Sus scrofa: one gene and its partners. The protein of the gene in region 1 interacts with the protein of each later gene in a pairwise test. Links are inferred from orthologs where the notes say so. Each region holds a gene or a part of one and is shown on either strand. Other genes may lie near its edges.

Evidence for each region.
Region 2: the proteins of BFSP2 (region 1) and ATF4 interact in binary tests that used the Homo sapiens proteins (3 or more experiments, as listed by UniProt). The link is inferred for Sus scrofa from reciprocal best matches to the Homo sapiens genes BFSP2 and ATF4.
Region 3: the proteins of BFSP2 (region 1) and SYCE1 interact in binary tests that used the Homo sapiens proteins (3 or more experiments, as listed by UniProt). The two-hybrid records come from large-scale screens. The link is inferred for Sus scrofa from reciprocal best matches to the Homo sapiens genes BFSP2 and SYCE1.

Annotation. Positions count from the first base shown.
Region 1 is NC_010455.5:74,555,108-74,562,349, reverse strand, and holds the start of BFSP2 (phakinin), read right to left. Parts: upstream 4,473-7,242; 5' UTR 3,992-4,472; coding exon 3,431-3,991; intron 1-3,430.
Region 2 is NC_010447.5:8,741,843-8,748,867, reverse strand, and holds ATF4 (cyclic AMP-dependent transcription factor ATF-4), read left to right. Parts: upstream 1-3,115; 5' UTR 3,116-4,014; intron 4,015-4,586; 5' UTR 4,587-4,678; coding exon 4,679-4,904; intron 4,905-5,000; coding exon 5,001-5,860; 3' UTR 5,861-5,904; downstream 5,905-7,025. UniProt on the Homo sapiens protein: Transcription factor that binds the cAMP response element (CRE) (consensus: 5'-GTGACGT[AC][AG]-3') and displays two biological functions, as regulator of metabolic and redox processes under normal cellular conditions, and as master transcription factor during integrated stress response (ISR).
Region 3 is NC_010456.5:141,733,771-141,740,940, reverse strand, and holds the start of SYCE1 (synaptonemal complex central element protein 1), read left to right. Parts: upstream 1-3,110; 5' UTR 3,111-5,115; coding exon 5,116-5,185; intron 5,186-5,619; exon of another isoform or gene 5,620-5,799; intron 5,800-7,170. UniProt on the Homo sapiens protein: Major component of the transverse central element of synaptonemal complexes (SCS), formed between homologous chromosomes during meiotic prophase. Requires SYCP1 in order to be incorporated into the central element.

The DNA of each region.
Region 1 (7,242 bases):
GAGTGGACAGCCCCCATGACCAGACCCCCCAGGAGGCAGTGGGACCCCATTCTCCAGTGGGAAGCTGGGCCCACTGTCTGGGTACAGATAGGCTTAGGAGGGAGCTGTCTCCCCGAGGCTTGTGGGTGAAGGACACTATTTGGGGGGAGGCAGAAAGAAGGGACCATGGCCCCCCATAGTAAGCCCTTGGCCTGAGGTCTATCCCCTAGGGGACAGGTGCTCTGATTGAAGATGTTGCAACACTTCACAGTTCCTACAGCTCCTTTTCACATCTTATTTCATGCTCACAGGGGCCTTGAAAGGTGGTCGTCCATTTCGAAGATGGGGAGAGGGAGACATGGAGCAGATGAGTGGTTGGTCCACATACATGGCAGAACCAGGATCTGAAGGGAGGGCCCACTCAGTGTTGAGTATTGATGGCGTACGTGGCCATAGGTATCTGCAGTGTTGAGACTGAAGCTGCCTTTCTAGGTTGTTAGCCTCTGATTTCACCTAGTACATAAAATTCAGTGAACCCCCTTCATAGCCCCCCACAGCACATATAGTGATCCCCAAACTGCAAATGAAGAAACAATCTCAGAGAAGTTAAGTAACTGATACAAAGCCACCCAGCTAGTAGGCAGCAGAGCCAACATCCAAATGCAAGATCCCTTGATTCCCAGTTTATGCCCTTTTCACTTGCTCAAGTGAACCTGGAGTGTGAAGGCCGAGTCATGCAAATGACAAGGACCACTGGTAGCTGCCACAGTGGATGTGTGTACAGGCAGTCACGAGGTCATGGAAAGAGTGGGAAGGCAGCTCAGAGGAGCAGTGAGGCCAGGGCACATGGTATATTCACGGCCTCCCAAGTGGGTGGTATGGCAGGGCCAGAGGTGGCTTCAGAAGGGCCTTGTGGACTCAGCGCAGGGTCATGGATTGTGTCCTCTCTGGTAGGAGGAACCCAGAGGGTTTGGGGGCAGGGACAGTGCAGTCAGAGCTCATGTCTCCGAAAGATCATTCTGGTGACTGGGTGGAGAGCAGCTACCAGCAAAGCCATCTCACAGCCTGTGTGGAGGCCAGAGTTGGGTACCCTGCATGGGTTAATTGTGCAACAGCAACATTAGAAAAATCATGTGTATATCCCAGATATTTAGGATTTTCTTTTGTCCTTTTTGATGGAACAGAGCTAAACATGGTTGGAGCTGGGCCGTGTGATACAGAAGTAACTCCATTTTATAGGCTGGTCTAGCTGTATCTTCAAGTTCATGTTTGAAGAAAAAAAAAAGAAAAAAAGGAAAATGACTCTCATTTGGAGGATATCTTGATGTTCAGCCCATAGCATTGGACCTATACTGCTCTCATTGTGTGTTTTTCTAGTCTGTGGTCTACCTTCAGGCAGGACCTATACAATTTAGTTATCAATGGATTTGTTGGAATATCCATGGCATTATTATACCTATTTTACAGATAAGGAAACTGAGGCTCAGGGAAGTTGGGTAAGTTGCCTAAGCCTCTGGATCCAGACCAGGACAGAACAGACTATTTTGTGGCCATACTTTTTGACCTACAAATTGGGACACCTGACGTCTCATGAAAAGTCTGTGTAGCATCTGAGTGCATGAAATTGCCTGGCAGATGCTGAGATATTGGACTATCTAGGGGTGTTCTGGTGGCTTACAGGACATGCATATTTGGAATCTGCACTGTTGGAGAGAACACTAGAGGAATGGCTGCTTGACTTGCTGGGTCTAAGGCCGTGGACTGCTCTGAGATGGCTCTCCTCACAGCCCAGATAGATGTAGGCAGAACAGCAGCTCTGGGGGAGAGCCGAGAGAACAGTGTTGGGTGTCATATGTGTAGTGCCGGTAGCTGGCACCAGCTGGCAGGGGAGGAGAAGCATCCTGGGGTGAAGTGGGAGGCAGGAGGGGCAAATGGGAAGCTCATGAGTGTGTCTGACCAGCATTACCCACCCACACACGAATGAAAGTCTGTGACTCTCTGGGGGCTGTATGCTGGGCCCCCAGGTGAAAGGGGTCTGAGCTGGCAGTTCCTGGCCAGGCTAGAGGCTGATTTAGCTCAGAGGGATGCCAAGGCCAGCATTTGTGGGAGGAGGGGAAAGGAGACAGATGAGATGAAATGTGCAGAGCTGACTGCTGCCCCAGTGTCAGAACCACAGGCTACAGGCCAGATGTGACAGATGAGTTCAGCGCCCTGCAGAATTACCAGGAGAGCAGGTCCTGACCAAACAAGGGACAGAGAGGAAGCCTCTGTGCCCTGCCCTGGTTAATAAGGTAACCACGGCCACCTGTGGCTATTTAAATGTAAATGAATGAAAATAAAAATGTCAATTTCTCAGCCTCATTAGCTGCACTTCAAGTGCTCCATAGCCAGAGCTGGCTGGTGGCTACCAGACACAACGGTGCAGGTATAGGGACATTTCCATCATTGCAGAATTTCTATCTGAATGTGACGTATCTCACTAATAGTTTTTATATTGATTACATGTTGAAATAACATTTAAAATAGAGTTAAATATGATATACTAATAGTAACCTCACTTGTTTCTTTTTACTTTAACTACTGTGTGTAGTAAACTTGTCAATTCTCTGCGTGGCTCTAATTTCCATGGGCCAGCGCTGTAGAGATAGAAACAGGAACACCCCTCCATTTAGCCATTGTTCCCAATGCCACATCCATTTGGTGGTATTCTATTGGATGATGGCTGTAAAACTCCTCTCTTAACACAAGGGTTATAGAGTCAGCCCAGGCTGATGGGACAAATGCAAGCTTTAGAGCTGGAAAAATTCAGGTTCAAATCTCAGCTCCACCTCTCCAACTGGCTGCATGATTTTGAGCACAATGCTTCTTTGGGCCTCTGTTACCTCATCTAAAAATGCAATCAATGAATGAGCCATCACATGGCATTGCTTTGAACACTTGAGGACACAGTTCCTGCCTGGGCCCCGCCCTGAGTACACCTCAGCAAATGGTAGCCGCTGTTACAGTTATCATTGTCATTAATTTTTTTTTTTTTGTCTTTTGTCTTTTCAGGGCCATACCTGCAGCATACAGAGATTCCCGGGCTAGGGGTCTAATTGGAGTCAACAGGTGCCAGCCTACACCAGAGCCACAGCAATGCCAGATCCGAGCCTCATCTGCAACCCACACCACAGCTCACAGCAACGCTGGATCCTTACCCACTCAGCAAGGCCAGGGATCGAACCTGAAACCTCATGGTTCCTAGTCGGATTTGTTTCTGCTGTGCCATGATGGGAACTCCAGTTATTAATGTTTTCAGCATGAACGTGTAGGGTCAGTCTCTCTGGCCTCAGACCACTCACTTCCCTGCCCCCTGCCTCAGCACTCTTGCTCTCTGATATTGACCCCCCTCCCCATCCCACCCAAGAGACGGTGCAGGAGGCAGCTGTTAGCATCTTGTCCTGGTACTCACCTGCTGGCAGCTGCTGGCCCATGAGGCCCGGAGGGCACCCCAGCTCTCGGAGCGTGTGGCCTTGCTCTCCAGGTGCATCCGCAGCTCTGCCTCCAGCTCCTGGCTGACTTTCTCGAGGGCGTGCACCTTGGCCATGTATTCCACCAGGCACCCTCCCAGGTCCTCGACGCCACTGAGGTCCCTCTCCAGGCCTGGAGTGGGCGCCGTGGCCAGGCCTGAGCTCCGCAGGCCCTGCAGGAAGACGCTGCTGATGCCCAGGGCCCGGCGGGTCACCCGGGCACCCAGGCCACCAGTGGACCCACTGGGTGTCATCCCTACATAGACCCTGGGTGTTCGGACAAGACCACCCACGGCAATGGTCCTGGAGGCTGGGAGGCCCTCCAGGGAGGATGGTGACTGTGCTCCCCTGAAGGAAGCCCTGTGCCTCTGCAGAGGCATGCTGGGGCTGGCCCCTGTGGGCACGTCCACCACCACTCGCCTGGTGCTCATCGCCCCTTCTGTCTCTGCTGTGCCTAGTGGGTTCACAGAGCCCAGTGGCCTTTTGGTTTCCAGCCCCAGCATCCCCGTGACCGGGCCTCTCTGGAAGCTTCCCTATGCCAGGGCTGCTTTGTCTGCTGTTTTCCATGAGTTTCCACCATTCACCAAGCTGAAAGGGAAGCGGCCCGCCCAGGGCTGTGTGCAGAGAGGCGCTCAAGCATTCTCTGCAGGGTCATATGCCTGACCTCCGAGATTTTTCTGTGGGTGGTGGGGAAGCTGGATCAGTGCAGGCTGCAGGGGTGGCTCAGCTGGGCCTGTGTATTGCAGTGTCTAAGAGAGGGCCAGGCAGGCACACAGCAGCCCTACTTCATGGATGAGTAAACTGAGGCCTCAGCTCACAAGTGTCATGAGTGGCTGAGCCAGGACTGACTCTAGGGGTTTAGGGCTGGAGTCAGGGCTTTCTACATCCTTCCCTGTGCTGTGGGTGTGGGTGTGGAAACGTGGCTGTAGAAGGCTGTGAACCAGCCATGCCCAAGGCAGCCCCAGGGACTCAAGAGAAACAAACTAAGTGCCTTGCTCCCTCCACCCTCCCTCAGTCCCCTGCCGCAGCTTCAGGTCGCTCCCTATCCCCTTTCTCCCCTTGAGCCCTGCCTTCATCAGCTGCTTGACCTTGGTTACACTGCTTCACCCTCTAGACCTTACTTTCTAATGCACTAGACAAGGGACTGTGGGCAAATTCAGGCCTCACGTGTGTTGGCCACCTATTATGTTCTGGATGTTCCTGTCACCTCTGTTTTCCCATCTGCCAGAAAACTAATAAAAATAAAGAGGTTTTCTGGTAAGATCTTTAAGGGAGCTCTAAGTTAGGACTGTATGACACACACTGGGCTTTAATTCATGCCCTAGGCAGCCAAAAAGTATCCTGCAGCCCCCAGGATAACAAAATGGACCTAACCACTGCATTTAAGTTTAACCCTAGAGGAATGAAGTAGCCAAAACCCAGAGATGGATATTTATCCCGGATCCTGGAACGTGAGAACATACCTTGAGGAGAGAAGGGGAAAGGGTCGGCTGCTTGTGAGTGCTGAACCCATCAGTGCTGTGAAGATTTCCACACCTTACTTCACTGACTTCTTAGTTCGACCTTAGGAGGTAGGTTCGGGGTTGACATGCACTGCTGCTGGGGCTGCACACTGCACAATTCCAGAAGTAGCATCACACGTCCTGAGATGGGCTATCCTTCCTTGTGTGATGAGAGCTGCAGTGACTTTCCCAAGGGCCCCTGCCCAGAAAGTAGCAGAGCTGGGATGAGAAGTTATCTAGGACTCCCTCTGTCTCCCAACACCCAGAGAACAGGGTACTTACCCAAGGTCACACAGGCAGAGATAAAAACCCTGATCCCTACTGAAATACTCCATGTGCTCTTCCTTTTTTTCCCTCCTTCTACTTTTTCTAATTGAGATGTCATGGAAAGTACTTCACAAATATCAAATGTTGTTATGTGATTAACAGATTAAGGAATCAACCTGATCAAGTAAAGGCTGGCAGTGCCCCCTGGCCTTCTTGCTGTGAACACCAGTTCTGGTGCACCCTGAAAGACCCTGTATCCCACCAGTCTGAGTTATAATGACATCACCTAAAACAGGTGATGCTGACAGGTCCCAGGAGCTGCAGGAATCTCAGGATGTGTCCAAGACTAAATGGAGGGCTCCAGCCATTGATTAATTTGTCTGCAGAGGTGCCATGTTTAGTCACTGTTACTCTATGGAAAGGTGACACTCAGTGGCAAGGTTGCCTTTGGATTTCTCTGACTGCAGATACAGCCCTGAGTCCAGGAAACGGGAGGATGAGGAGGGCTATATCTTGACACTAATGTCTCCAAAGACCTGGAGATACATGACTTTTCTGGGGAGAAAACATGTTCTAAGGGATTTTTTTTCCCCAGATGATAAATGGCTAATCCATTAGCTTATCACATTGATAAAACCCCACATACTGTTAAAATAAATGAAAAAAAAAAAAAAACCAAACAGATGGACAGGTGGTGTCGGTACTAAAGGAAGACTTAAAAGTTATTTAAAAATTAAAAGAATGCGAAATGTATTAGCAACTTAATCCTCTGGCTAATAAAATAAGTTTATTTATATATACATGGTAGCTGAATTCTGTGGATAAGGAAAAATAAGTCATACATCCCACATATATATATATATATATATATAACATATGTATCTCTGATTACATATATTATATATAAATTTTACTTTACAGATTTCTTTCTCTATATATACACACACATTGATATATTAAAAGCCATCACAGACAGAAATATTATGATAAGGTTGAGAGACCAGACAGCAGGATGCTGGGAAATGAATCTCAGAGCAATGTGTAACCTGCTTCTTTGTAGGTTGAAGTCTTTGAAGAGAGACAATCACCAAACTCAGTTTAAGTAGGTTCATAGGACACTGAGGACACACACTTTCAAAGGCCATCTTTTTTTTTTTTTTTTAAAGGAACATGTAGGAAGAAAGGAAAAAGTTATGATAAGAAGACCACAGCGATAGCACGAACATATGAATCAACACTCAAGTTTGGGTCCCAGTCTGACTATAAGAACATCTATATTCAAAATATACTATCAAACTATATTTCCTTTAGAGAAAGGGAGTGTCAAAGCAGTTATCTTCTCTTCCAGCCACGTTGTATTGGGGAAAAATGGAGAAGCAGCCCTCTCCGCAAGGCCCTCTTGTGTCTCTGAGGGTCTGACCCGCTGGCCGTGGGCTTGGGGGCAGCAGGTGACCAGTGATGGAGAGAGCAGTGAGGGGAGACTGTGAGCCCCAGGCAAGTCTGCAATGCCGAGCACAGGTACAGTGATGTCTTCTCCTGAGTGACCCACTTCGGCAGCCTTGTCTTTTTAAGATCTTGGGAGAGAGGTTTAGAAAATCACAGCTCCACACCCCAAGGCTTCTTCTACAAATGCATTCCTCAGGGACATGATGGGATGGCCTTTTGAGAAAACGAAGGTGAACCCCAGTAAACACTGGATCCTTGAAGAAGGGCAAGCACTCCGAAGCTCCAGGGCTGAGGTCTGCATCCAAACCCTCTCCAGAGAAAGGCACGAGTGTCTAATGCAGATGTGAACAGTGGGGAGGATGCAGGGCTGGGCCAGGAGGGAAAGCAGTCATGTAGTCAGCACAGTTGGAGGCTCCCTGTCGTGGGATGTTAGGGGGATGTGGCCTGGATGCTGCTATCCTCCAGCCTTGGTGCTAATGCCCTTGCAAGGTTCAGGGCGCTCCTCCTGGGGTGACAAGGTGCTCCCCCTTCCTGCTTTG
Region 2 (7,025 bases), on another chromosome or scaffold:
ATGCCGGATCCTTAACCCACTGATCAAGGCCCAGGGATCAAACCCTCAACCTCACGGTCCCTAGTCAGATTTGTTAACCACTGCGCCACTACGGGAACTCCCCTTAAAGACTAAATCCCAAATTATCAAAGGCAGGTGTAATTGTGATTTGAGCTTATCTCCTCTCTTAAAGAGCTTCTTTCTGATGGCAGCTCTGTCTCCTGCCTATGTTTCACAAAACCAAAACTCATAACTTTGCCATTTCATAAGCAGGAACCTCCTAGGAGTCCTCAGAACGAGAAGCAGTGGGGTCAGCTCTGGTCCTGAGGGGTTTGCCGTCTGAGATGGACCAGTCTCATCATAGTACACGGAGGACAGTCAAGTGCTTCAAGATTCACTTTTTTTAATCTTTGGGGGAAGATGTGGGGCCTTTCCCCACCTTTCTGCCTTCCCACTCAGTAACTCCCACCTTTGCCTGAAGTAATAGCATCTGCTCCTACTTCTCCCTCTGGAAATTTTTTGCACCATCTAGGTTAGAAAACCACATAGCCTAATGCTTAAAAAATACTCATATCAAAAACCTAATCAATTTCAAAGTGTATTTTGGTTTTCTCTGTTGCCCATTCCTGAAACATGAGTTCAGGACAACAGTATTTTTCTTTATACACTTGGTTGTGACTTTTTTTTTTTTCTTCAAATAAAGGAATAATTGAAGTTCATGGTGGGAAAAGTTGTGTTGTGAAGCCTGCAGTCTCCAGGGCTCAGCCCCTCATGGGCCTCCTGTTCACACTCCACAGATGAGCTGGTTTTGCTCCCTTGCGCTCTATTCAGGTTGAGAGCTCAGATGGTTTTGACGAATCAGCTTCAGGATCAGAAGGCCCCGCAGAGGCCCCAGGAGGGTTGTGGAAGTAGGGAATCCCCTGTATCCCGATTGCTGCCAGTTGTGGCACATCTGAGACTGTGGCCCTGGCTGAGAACTTCTGTCCTCACAGGATGTGTTAGAACTCTGCCCCTTGTGCTGAAGCTCAAGGCCAAAGAGAATGGTAAGAAACACTTCAGACTAGAGCTGTGAGAAGTAGCCCTCTGAAATTTTTTTTGTCTTTGGGTGGAGGGCAGGCCCATAGCCTGCAGAAGTTCCCAGGCCAGGCCCAGGATCAAACCTGCACAGCAGCAGTGAGCTGAGCCACAGCTGTGACAACGCCAGATCCTTAACCTGCTGAGCCTCCAGATGCTGCTGATTCTAGGTGGCCAAATAACAAGAGATGTGGGGTCTGGAGTTAACTGCATGCAGCTTGTTTACCTTTTCCTTCTGATCGCCTCATAATCTGTATTTTCTTGGCCCCTGCAACCAAGTCCACAACCTGCCTCCCAGTCACTAATCTGCCCTTCAGTGAGCAGTTGATGTGTTTAGCTGATAGATTTGGAATCAGTCATCAGTCTTCCTTGTTTTGTCCATATAGAAGCAGCTTAGCCCCAAGACCCAGAAAACTACTATCCTTTTTCTCCTTGAGGGAGGAAATAAAGCTGGGGGACACGTTGCCCTTCCACAACCTGGAAAGAAAAGAAACGTCTCCTTTCCAACAGCTTTGACTCGTGTGTGTGGTGGGAAATAGTTTCCTACGTGAGTGGTACTGGTGCATCAGAGTGCTTGCTTGGGGTCTCCATAATAGAACGGATGGGGTTATTCCACTCCTACGGTGTCCAATTGGGGCAGTGTTACTTTACTTCTTAAGCATCTGCATGGACATCCATCAAGAGGCACTGACAAGTCTCCCATACAGCAGAGAGGAGGACATGCCCCGTGGCTCCTTAATGACACCTTTGGAAGACTTGGGTAGTGGCTCGGGGGTAGTGGCTCGGGATTCTTACTGTCTTTGCACCAAAAGACCAGATGCCTTGTACATGTTTCCAGAGAATTGAGATTCCCCAAGGGGAAAGAAAAACCATACCTAGTATCCAGTATGCTTTCCTAGACCAGCTGTTTATAGTTGTTGATTTCATCTCAGTAAATAACAGTCCTCTGAGGGAGCAGGATATGATGGGGATGGGAGGTGGGTTAGAAGACCTGCGTTCTAGTCACAGGAGTAATGGCAACCATTTATCCAGCACTTACCAGGTACCAGGCGCACGGCTCAGTGCTGTGAATATATTATCTTAACTTCATTCTAAGGATGAGGATACCCATCATTAGCCTCGTTTTACAGATCAGGAAACGAAGACTCAGTGGGGGTAAGTCACTTAACCAGAATGTCTCCACTAATAAATGGGAAAGCCAAGATTTTTTGGAATTGGCCCTTAAATCTGTCATAACTCCTACCCCATACTGCCCACACCAGGCAAGACATGTCATGCCTTTAGTCATCAGCTTACCACTGTAAAGAAATGGTTGGGCTAGACTGACTCAAATCAATGAATGGTTAGTTGTTATGTAGGAAGTGCCTGACCAATTTTTGACCTCACTGTCCTCATAGAAATAATATTTGTAGGGCCCACTGAAATGAAGGGGAGTGGAAACTCAAGGTTTCCCTACAGGGCCTGATTGGAGGACTGGAAGATGGTGAAAGAGCTTTCTCCTAGCTCTTGACAGTTCCCCAGTAGAGAGGGCAAGTTACTGGCCCTAACCTGGACTGTGGCCTCCAAACACACAAATTCCCCTAAGTGGGCAGGTCTGATCAAGCACCCAGGCAGTAGGACTTGCTGGGAAGTGGTTATGCCGCGGAGTTACAGAGTTGGTAAATAATTGAAACTACCCTAGAGTGAGAAAGAGCAGCTAAATAAAATACCTCATTTTTAGGGGAAGTGAAACTACATAAACTGAAAGAAGTTCCCCTGTCATAGGTTTCATTCTTTAACATAAAAGGAAACTTGTATTTTAGCAGAATGGATATGTAAAAATACAATTGTTTAGACCACAGGATTATGGATTTCCTCCACTCGACTCGCCTCTACAGAGTTGAGTCAGGACGCAGAGCAGGCCTTTGATGGTAGGTGGATCTCAGCTGAGGTCATCAGTCTCCCCTTCCAGTTACTGAAGGGTTCACACGTCCTCAGTATTCTGCAAGTGTGTGCAAGTGAAAACAGACGAAATAACATTTACTCTTGACTAGTTTCACATTCGGGCCTAAACCCGGTCCCTAGTTCGGAGCTTCTCCAAGGGCGGCAGGAAAGGACCACGAGGATTCGGACCTAACGCCACTATTTGGATCTGGGCCAGGGCTGCCCGGGGCAATCAAGGCCAGCTGGGTGGGCGGGGCTGAGGGAGCCTTTGCAGAGCGGCGCTACGGCGAGCAGGACGCCGGGGCCCGGCGGCGGGAACCTCACCCACCTTCCCGCGCAGATCAGGGGCTCCCTCGCTGAACAACCCGCCCGCCTCGGAGCCTGAGCCAATAGAAACTCGATGTATATATGACTCACCATGCCTAACCAATCATTTCGACGCGCGCTCTCCGCCAGTAGCTCGCGCGATAACCAGGAGACCTCGTACTTCACAATAAAAGCCCTTCTTGGGGTGAAAGACTCGTCTCCGCCTCTCGGGCTAGCACCGGAAGTAGCTGTGCAAGATCCTTCCGCGCATCCCGGCAGCGGACGGTGGTGATCCTTAGATCTCAAAAGCCTTGTAAAGTAGTGCGCCCTTTTTTGAGGCTGTAAATAAAAGTAACTCATTTGGTCCTCACAGTTTCGCCCTCGACATAAAAGTCAGAGACTGGAAATGGTAGGGGCGTCGGTTAAATGAAAGCGCGTGGGTGGGAGGCGCTGGTCACGTGACCTAGGCGGAAGAATATTCTCTGTGATGCGTCCCACAGAGGCAGAGTCTATAAAGGACCCGCGCTCGGCGAACCGCCGCCATTTCTTTTCCTCTCCGCTGTAGATGTAGTCCTTTTCTGCGAGTGGGCGCTTTTCTTCCTCCGCTCCCGCAGGGTCCGCGGCCGCCATGGCGTATTAGAGGCAGCAGTGCCTGCGGCAGCATTGGCCTTTGCAGCGGCGGCAGCAGCACCAGGCTCTGCAGCGGCACCCCCCAGCGGCTTAAGCCATGGCGTAAGTACCGGGGCCCGACGCTCTGGGCCGTGTCCCCCCGGGTCGGTGAAGGGTTCTTGTCTGATGCTGGGGCGCGGTCCGGCGGCGTCGCGGAGGGGGAAGCGGTTTTACGAGCGCCCGGGACGCGTGGCCGCTGATGGGGTGACGCCGAAGCGCCAGCGCCCCTGGGTCGAGAGGCCGCTGCGCTGTTCGGGCGTGGGGCGAAGTCCTCGGTACCTCCGGCCCCGGCCGGGGGGCCGGGGCTCCCCCTGGGGCTCCACGAAACGTGGCAGCAGCCAAGATGGCGGCGGGGCAGGGCGGCGGCCGCGGCGTGAGTCACGGGCGGGCGTGGGCGGGGCCGGACTCGGCCGGGAGGACCGGGCGCCTTCCTCTGGTGGCGGGTCGGGGAACGGCCGGGCGTCCATCTTGCGCCGCCAGGCGGACGCGGGGAAGGTTGGCAGCCGGGGCCAGCGGCCCCCAAGTCTCAACAACCACACGGGGTCGGGATTTGGCCGTCCTGCCCCGGGGGTGGAGAGGCGAAAGGCTCAGACCAGCTGTTCTCTAATGGGGCTTGGTTTCTGGTTCCTGTTAAGGCTTCTCACGGCATTCAGCAGCAGCGTTGCTGTAACCGACAAAGACACCTTCGAATTAAGCACATTCCTCGATTCCATCAAAACTCCGCAACATGGCCGAGATGAGCTTCCTGAGCAGCGAGGTGTTGGTGGGGGACTTGATGTCCCCCTTCGACCCGTCGGGTTTGGGGGCTGAAGAGAGCTTAGGGCTCTTAGACGAATATCTGGAGGTGGCCAAGCACTTCAAACCTCATGGGTTCTCCGGCGACAAAGCTAAGGCGGGCTCCTCCGAATGGCTGGCTGTGGATGGGTTGGTCAGTGCCTCAGACAACAGCAAGGGTGAGTGGGCTTTTCCCTGCCGGTGGGGTCTGGTGATAAAGCCTTGCTGCCGCGTGCATCTGACTCTGGGTTCCGTCCCTCTTAAATCTCTTGCAGAGGATGCTTTCTCCGGGACAGACTGGATGGTGGAGAAAATGGATCTGAAGGAGTTCGACTTCGATGCCCTGTTGGGTATAGATGACCTGGAAACCATGCCAGATGAGCTTTTGGCCACGTTGGATGACACATGTGATCTCTTTGACCCCCCACTCCAGGAGCCCCCGCAGATAGTGAACCCAATTGGCCATCTCCCAGAAAGTTTACCAACAACTGACCAGGTTGCCCCCTTTACGTTCTTGCAAACTCTTCCCCTTTCCCCAGGGGCCCTGTCTTCCACTCCAGATAATTCCTTTAGTTTAGAGATACAGGGTGAAGTGGAAATCTCGGAAGGAGATAGGAAGCCAGACTCCACTACTTACATTACCTTGATTCCTCAATGCATAAAGGAAGAGGATGCCCCCTCAGATAATGACAGTGGCATCTGTATGAGCCCTGACTCCTATCTGGGCTCTCCCCAGCACAGTCCCTCCACCTCCAGGGCCTCTCCAAGTAGGAGCTTGCTCTCTCCCGGGGCCCCTTGTGGTTCTGTCCGGCCCAAACCCTATGATCCTCCTGGAGAGAAGGTGGTAGCAGCAAAAGTAAAGGGTGAGAAACTAGATAAGAAGCTGAAGAAGATGGAGCAGAACAAGACAGCAGCCACTCGGTACCGCCAGAAGAAGAGGGCAGAGCAGGAGGCCCTCACTGGCGAATGTAAAGAGCTGGAAAAGAAGAACGAAGCTCTGAAAGAGAAGGCAGATTCCTTGGCCAAGGAGATTCAGTATCTCAAAGATCTGATAGAAGAGGTCCGCAAGGCACGGGGAAGAAACGCGCCCCCTAGCTGCCGGGCAGGGGTGTGCATGTGCTTGTACATAGGCTAGGGCTTTAGCTGTGTGTTGCAATAAATTATTTTGTAGTGAACGTACTGCTGATGACTGATTTCTTCAGATAAATGTTCCAGTCAATCCCCCCTGGAGCCACTTTTCTCACCAGGGTCAGAAGTAAAGTGCAAACGCTCCGTAATTCCCTCTGCCTCAACTCAGCAGACAATGGGGTGGGGGGGCAGGAGGAGGGGGTGTGGTGAGTTGAGAGCAGCCCTGGAAGTGACCTGCCCTCTTTGATGAGGCTCATGCCAGTCATTCATTGCCAATCTGGGTGACCCACTCTGGCTTAGAAGGAAGCCCTTTTGGGTTGCTGTGAGGGGCAGTGCAGGTGAGGGTGTCTGAAGCCAGAGTATGTGTGCATGCCTCTCCACAGGTCCCTGCAGCCAAGTCCTCCCCAGACCCAAAAGACGGGAGGCAGGGGCCTCTGCCGTTCACTTCCTGTGCCCCAGTGAGCTCACCTGGCCTCAGCTTCAGCACTTGCTGTTTTGCAAGGGTTTCCCGTTGGTTCCTCAACTCCTGCAAGGTTCCAGTGTCACTCCCAAGGCCATCCAAAGTGACTGCTGGTGTTCCGCCCCTCACCTTTCCCGCTCATTTGCCCCCCCATGGTCCTTTCTCCAGTTGACGTGTATACATGTTTATTTCCTGCTCTGACACCCAGTTTTGCAGTCACTTCGTGCCCTGATCTCCAAGACCTGCAGCAGTGCCTGAGGAAGAAATTGCAGCTTTATAACCATTTCCTGAGCGTTCCGAGGCACGGCTATGAATGTATGTTTACTGGAGTGAGACCCAGCCCCCTGCACGTGGAGCCCTGTGGGCTGATAAAGGGCAGAGGCGGGCTGGGTCTTACCGCTGGTGGCGGGGGTGGAGGTGGGGGTGCTCCTGGTCCATCGCCAGGCCCCTGCTGCCTTTCTGAGGACGCAGGTCTTGGAGGTCGGGAAATAGCCTTCATGTCTCTGCAAAGATTCATGCGCATCCACTGTGTGCTAGACCCTTTTGAGGGCTGGGGATTCAGTGGTGAGAACACACATCTCTGCTGTCCTTTCTGCGAGGGAGACGGCCAGTGAACAGACCTGACGGGACAGCAGGAGGGAGGACCTGCTCAGGACGCACTTTCGGGCCGGGAGGAGAGGCCTGGGGTGGAGCGTGTGAACTGAGCGTCAGC
Region 3 (7,170 bases), on another chromosome or scaffold:
CCCAGAAGATCACCGTTTCACCACCTTCCATTCACCAGGTGTAGGCACTTTATCCAGATCCCAAACCCCAGTCAGGCGGGGGGTTCAAAATTACCTGCTCAACAGCTGATTCCACTCAACAGCAAATAAGACAACAATCCAATTGAAAAATGGGCAAAAGATATAAATAGAAATGTATCCAAACAAGACATACACATGGCCAACTAGCCCATGAAAAAATGTTCACCATCCTTCATTGTTAGAGAAATGCAAATCCAAACTACTATGGGGGACCCCTCACACCAGTCAGAATGGCCATCATTAGTAAGTCTACAAATAGCAAATGCTGGAGAGGGTGTGGAGAAAGGGTACCCTCCTACACTGCCGGTGGGAATGTAAATGGGTACAACCACCATGGAAAACAGTATACAGGCACCTCAGAAAACTAAATATAGAAGGACATTTTGACCCAGCAAACCCAGCATTGGGCATATAGCCAGACAAAACATTCCTGGAAAAAGACACATGCACCCCTGTATTCCTTGCAGCACTAGTTACAATAGCCAAGAAATGGAAACAACCAAATGTCCACTGAGAGATGAATGGATTAAGAAGAGGTGGTACATGTACACAATGGAATACTACTCAGCCATAAAAAAAGAACACAATCATGCCATGTGCAGCAGCAACATGGATAGAAAAGGAACATTCATCCTTAGTGAAATAAGTCAGAAAGAGAAAAACAAATACCATATGATATCACCTATATCTGAAATCTAACAAATGGTAAAAATAAACCTTTTCATAGAAAAGAAACCCATGGAATTGAAGAACAGACTTGTCAAAGGGGAGGGGGAGGGAGTGGGGATGACTGGGAGTTGGGGGTTCATAGATGCCAACTATGGCATCTGGAGTGGGTAAGCAATGAGATCCTGCTGCATAGCACAGGCAGTGCTATCTAGTCACCTGTGATGGAACATGATGGAGGATAAATGGACAAAAAGGATGTGTGGATAGAGATGTCAGCCTGGGTCACTTGGCTATAGGGTAGACTGAGCACTGCAAGTCAACTACAATGGGAAAGGAATCATTTTAAAAAAAAAATCACAATTACCAGCTGAGGGCTCACTAGAGACGGTATCTGGGTCCAGACTCCTGCCTCTCAAGAAAAAACAGGCCATCTGACCCCATCGAAACTGTCAAGCTTTCTCACTGCTGTGACACACGACCAGGCTGCAAATCCACATCAAATGCTGAAGGAAACACCCCTGTGTCCTTGCCTGACCTGAGGCATCTTGGGCCAGAGAGTCACAGGTGCCTGGAAAACAATCCCGAATTTCTGGGTGCTGCTGAGGCTTCCGACAAATGCATCATCAGCCACATCTCTGAGCCTGGACCCTGCCGCCTTGGAGCTGCACATGGGTCCGCAGGAAGGTACTCTGACGCCGTCTTGTGGACATCGGCCCTAACAGCAGCTCTCGTGCCTGCCTTCCTCCTGTCTGCTCAGCTCTCCTGGGGCTGCACTGGAGTTGGGCAAGCCTGCGGCTTTCCCTTGAGACTTCCTCTCCCTCTGAACGCCATGAAGTGCCCTAGGAAGTGGGGGATTTCTCTCTCAAAATCTCTCGGGGCACTCAGCCCAACTTACCCAAGGCTATTGTGTCCACTCTGCTGTAACCCTAACCCCACCCACTGTGCTGTGGGAGCCTTTTTTCTTCCTTCACATAATAATTACCTGGAGTGATTATCTCTGGCGTATGAATTTATTAATTTCTTACATCTTCATTGATTTATTCTCTGATTTATTTTTCTGGACCCACTTGTGGCATGCAGATATTGTCTGGCCAGGAACTGAATCCACCCCAGGGCTGTTACTACCCCAGGCTCGTACACACAACCCTCTGCCACCACAAGCATCATATCGGAAGAGCCTTTTTCATGCCTTTCTCTGTCAATTCACTTAGCTACTATGTAGGGATATCTATATGTATGCACTGACTTCATCAATTTATCGCCTTCTTCAAAATATTTACTTTTCTTGATTCATTTACTTGGGTGCCACCTGCAACATCAGGGAGTTGCCCAGTCAGGGTTTGATCTCCCTATGCAACTCTCACCATAGCCACAGACTCTTAAGGAAGCCAGCCACGAGGGAACTCTCTGAGAGCTTTCTTGGTATCAATCAACCCTGCTTAATTCATCAGACCTGGGTTCGGTCAGGCCTCCTTCCCTGGAGCGGTCACTGTAAAGGGAGACTCGTGTGGCAAGGCAAGAAAGACATTTCACTAGGTCTCATGAGCAGAAAAAGCACAGGGATTAGCACAACCACCCACCACAATGCCACCGAAGTCCACCATCCATTCATCAGCACCAGCCTCTATCCAGAGAGCTAAACCCTTGGCAGTCAGGGGCTTGAAAATGGACAGTTCATGATTCAAAACAGAGGCTGTGTGGGTTCTGGCTCCTGGCCTGGAGGAACACAAGGCGCTCTGAAACCCAGTGGATCACTCAAGCATTATAAACACACTGCCACCTGGCCAGGCAGCAAATGCACACACATTAAATGCTAAAAGGACAGCTGTGTGCTCTGCCTGACGTGAGGCAACTTAGAGCAGAGAGTCCCAGATACCTGGAAAACAACCCCAGATCTCTGGGTGCTGGCTGGGGTTTCCCACAAACACATCATCAACCCCAACGCTGAGCCCCGACATGCAGCCTTGGAGCTTGCCCTTGGGTCTGGAAAGTACCCTGGCACCGTCTTGTGGTCATCTGCACTAACAGCAACTCTCAGGTGTTCGTCCTCCCTCTGGCTGAGCAGCCCCCGGGGGCAGCTTTGGCCTTGGGCAACACACTGGTTGGATTGCCTTCCTCTGCTTTCTTGAAATATCAAGAAGGGCCCTACCAAGTGGGCTATTTCTCTCTCAAAGGCTTTCAGAGCCCTGAGGCCACCCTACCCGATGCCACAGCTTTTAAACACTCAGCTCCCGACCCATCATGTGCTGACAGCCTTCTTCAATTTTTCATATATTCACGCAGGTGTGTGTTTTTGAATATATTTGTTTACATATGTAATTATTGACTTATTTTCTTACCTTTCCAACTATTATTCATTAGCTCATAGGTCTTTCTTCCTTTGTTCTACCTTTCTTACATTTTTTTCTTTCACTGGAGTGACTTACCCTACTGTATGGAGCCCAGTGGCTCCCAAATGTCGATTCCTTGCTCCAACCGCCAAGAGCTGGGGCAGCCAGGGCCACTTTAGGGAATTTTGAAAGGAAGATGCTCAGGACAAGTGGTCCTGGCAGCTGCTAGGAACTCACCAGAAAACTCCCCAACTGGGGCCAGCTGGTCACAAACAGCAAGGCTCCTGGCTGGCTCACCAAAACCTGTTGCCGAACCCAAGTTTGCTCTGCTCACTGTACTGCTCAGGCCAATGAATTCTAAGAAGAGTTGTTGGGGCGATGCATAGCTACTTTAATTAGAAAGCTAGCAGATGGAGAAGACGGCAGGCTAGTGTCTTGAGACTTGCCTCAGTCTTAATTCAGGCTCTTTTAATACTGAGAAAGGGGAGGGGCAGGGGCCAATGGTCAGCCACTGTCACTTGCTGGGGGGACAGGCTCACTACAATGCTGACCAATGGCTGAAGAGGACCACTAAATGTCGCTCACTAATGGTTGCTCACTTACACTCTGACCCCAGCCCCTTTATCCCTGACTCTAACCTCTAAGGCCAGGCAGTCTGTACAACAGGATGGGTTAGGGTTTTAAGGGTCACTTGAACCTTTGCTCTACCCTTATCTTGCACAGGTCAGTTCACCATCAAAGAAGTAGCCCCAGTAACATGGAGATTATGGCCCACTTTGCCAGTTTGGATTGGTAGTCCATGACTTGAACAACCGTCAAGGGTGGCAATGGTCATGGGCTCAGCTACTAATTCCTACTCCTTTCCCTGACCTTGATACTGACCCTAAAAATGAAAGGTGACTCTCGTCTGACATTGACTCTTGACCCTTTCCCTGACCCTCGTCTCCTACTCAGACTCTTACTTTGATGCTGAGACCAGCTCAGTGAGTGGAGGTGAAGGACGGGTGCTGCAAAGCTTAAGAAATGTTCATCGGAAACAAAGAAAGACACAGAGACAGGGTACAGTTAAAGATGGGACCAGGGGACGCAAGACCTCATGCGTCAAGAGCCCTGAATGCCGACGCCTCATCGTCTTTATTATGCTCTCAGGAAGGTAAACAATGTGAGAAAATAGACACCCCAAGGCCCTCGGCCTCCAGTCACCTTGAATTTGAACTCCGACCTTTACTCTAAAGGGCATCAATGAGGCTGGTGTTAGCTATCTAGGCATAACATCTTGAGGAACAATCAGTGTTTTCTCAAGCAGTTTTCTGACTTGAGCTGACCCGGTTTTCCAAAGTCAACACCTTGTCCTCTCAGTTAATGCCTAACTTGCTGAGCCAGGTCCCTCTAGCCCCTTATGGTTTCCTTGGGGTTTAGAAAACACATCCGGAAGATTTCTCCCCACACCTTGAGCCTTAATCCTAATGCTTACTCTGTGACTTTTCGTAACCTTATCCCTATCGAGGACGCTTAAGTCAGCTCTAGGGCAGGGCTTTGCACAGGTAGCACTCAAAACTGCTCCTCACACCTGGTTGTTCCTGCCACCTGGAATCCTGAGCAACAGGTGAGGAAAACGTGACGCTGGAGGTTTTGGAACAGGATTTGCGCACGACGAGGCCAACTCACCGCCCTGCTGTAAAGCACCCAGGACGCGTCTGAGGGAAAACCGGAAATTCCTCTTCCGGGTGCAGAGACAGGAATGAACTGAGACCCCCACGCCAAGCACTGGCACTGTCCCCGAAGCGCGGGCGGCGTCCCCTGGGACGCACCCTCAGGAGACCGCCACACGCCCGCAGGCCCCTGGCTCCTCCATCGACCAAGCGCAAACCCAAGCGCACGCGACCCTCGCCTGCTCTGCGCAGAGTCAGGGCCAGACGCTCAAGCATGCGCACTGGCGCGAGCCCACGGTCTCCCCGCGGCCCCCGCTCGAGGAAACGGGCATTGCGCAGGCGCACAGAGGACGCCCCGCCCCCGGCGCGGCGCCAGACGCCGGGAGCCAGCGACCTGAGAGGAGATGGCGGGGCGGCCGGGGCCTTCGAGCGAGGAGTCCGCGGGAGCCCTGGGCCGCGCTGGCGAGGCAGGAGGTAGCTGGGCCCGGTGGCGGCCTCTGACCCGGCCTCCGGAGGGAGCCAGGCTGCCAGGGGCCGGGCGGGGAGCGCGTGCGGGCGCCTCTTCCTCAGGGCGGGGTCGGTCGTGAGGAAAAACGACTGTCGCCCCGCTGGAAGGGTCTGGGCGGCGCTACCCGGAGCGCTCCGGGGGACTCACCCGCAGGCCTCGCCTGACCTTCGCGCACTTCCCGTTGGCCTGGTCTGTCCACCCCGTTTGCTCAAGTAGCTCAGAGGAGTCAGGGGACACGGTTTCGATCTGGTCCCGGGGCCCCCACACCCGTGGGCCCGCGTCGGTCCCGTCACTCGTCCCACAGCCCGCACACATCTGCCTTCCCAGCTGCCCCGTAGTGGTTCTCCTCGGGGGAGTTTTTCCCCCGGACGAGGGTCCGGACGGCTCCACACGGCATTACCTTTTCTTTCGTCTTGACACTGATCCGCCGCGTGTTGGCTCCCACCTCACCAGGAAGCGGGTGGGGGAGCACGGCAGCTCCTTCAGTTAAAAAGTTCTGCAGGGACAGCCTGGGGTAGAGGAGAGATGAACAGTGTTCCTTAGACGTTTTCGCCCCGGTGTTTCACAGAACCGGAGGGACCTGTACAAGGAACACCCATCCCTCAGCTTGTTTACTCTCTGCTCTCCTTGGCTCACCCACCTCCCTCCTTAAGATTCAATCATGAACATGTCTTGGTGACACTTTCAGACCTGCCGTTACCAGTGCAGCTTTGGTACATTGGTAAGGGCTCCATAACGTTTTTATAAAATAAAGGTCTAAGTAATTAAAGAAACAGCACAGAAAGCTTGATTGGAGCACAGTGTGGCACCTGGTGACAACTCTCAGCTAAGGACAAAGAAAAACAGGGCAGATGCATATAGTTCCCTTTTCTTAAGCACCTACCGTGGCCACCACTGTACTAAAGAAACCTCTTAGTATTGCTCTTCCAAATTTCTCAAATAAGACAACATATTTAGATGAATGTTTAATCAGTTTCACCAGTGTCTTATAACTGGTGAAATACCATATCCCATGTGGCTTAGAAACTTAGGAATTTTACAACTTCACTCTTTCCTGGAGGATCACACAAAACATATAGATGCATGGACTACGTAGTCACTGGAGCCTAGATGGCGGTAGGAAAACATGGGGAGGGAACAGCTAAATCCCGAGGTATTTCTACTGGGAAATACCTGTAGAGTGGATTTCTGAAATGAGGAAGAAATGGAATTAAAATTAAGGTAACTATGTCAACTTTTAAATTATTAGATGTATTTACACTGATACAGCATGATTTTCAAAAAGGATATTTTTATGAGAGAAAAGCAAGAAAAATTATAATTATAGCACTATGTAGGTTGCACAGAAAGATGTCTGGAGGCTGCTTTCCTAATTGATGGCTCCAAGGAAGGGACTTGGATTTTGAGGGCAATGCAGAGGTAAAGGAACATTTTTAACCTTAATATTTGTATTTTCTACTAAGAATATGTAATTAATACTAGTGGAAATTTAAAATGTAAAAGTAGGGGACATTTTTAAAATGCCATTTGAGGATTGTATGTTAATATCTATCACTGTTGTTCTCTCAGTTTTAATTGTTATACTGAGGTTATTACTATATAGGAGAGTGTCCCTGTACTTTAGAACTTCACAACAGAATATTCGGGGTAATGAAGCATTGTATCTGCAACTCATTCTCAAGGTTCAGAAAGAGTAGCAAATGGAAGATTTGGGATGAAGGGCATAAAGGAGCTGTATGTCCTATTCTTAAACTTTATTATGGAAAAATTTAGGCATATGCAAGAATGCACAGGCACATGAAAAGATGCTGAACATTGCTAATATAGAAAGAGAAAACTACAATGAGGTATCACCTCACACTAGTAAGAATGTCTATCATAGTCTACAAATAAATGCTGGAGAGGGTGTGGAAAAAAGGAACCCTTCTACACTGTTGGTGGGAATATAAAT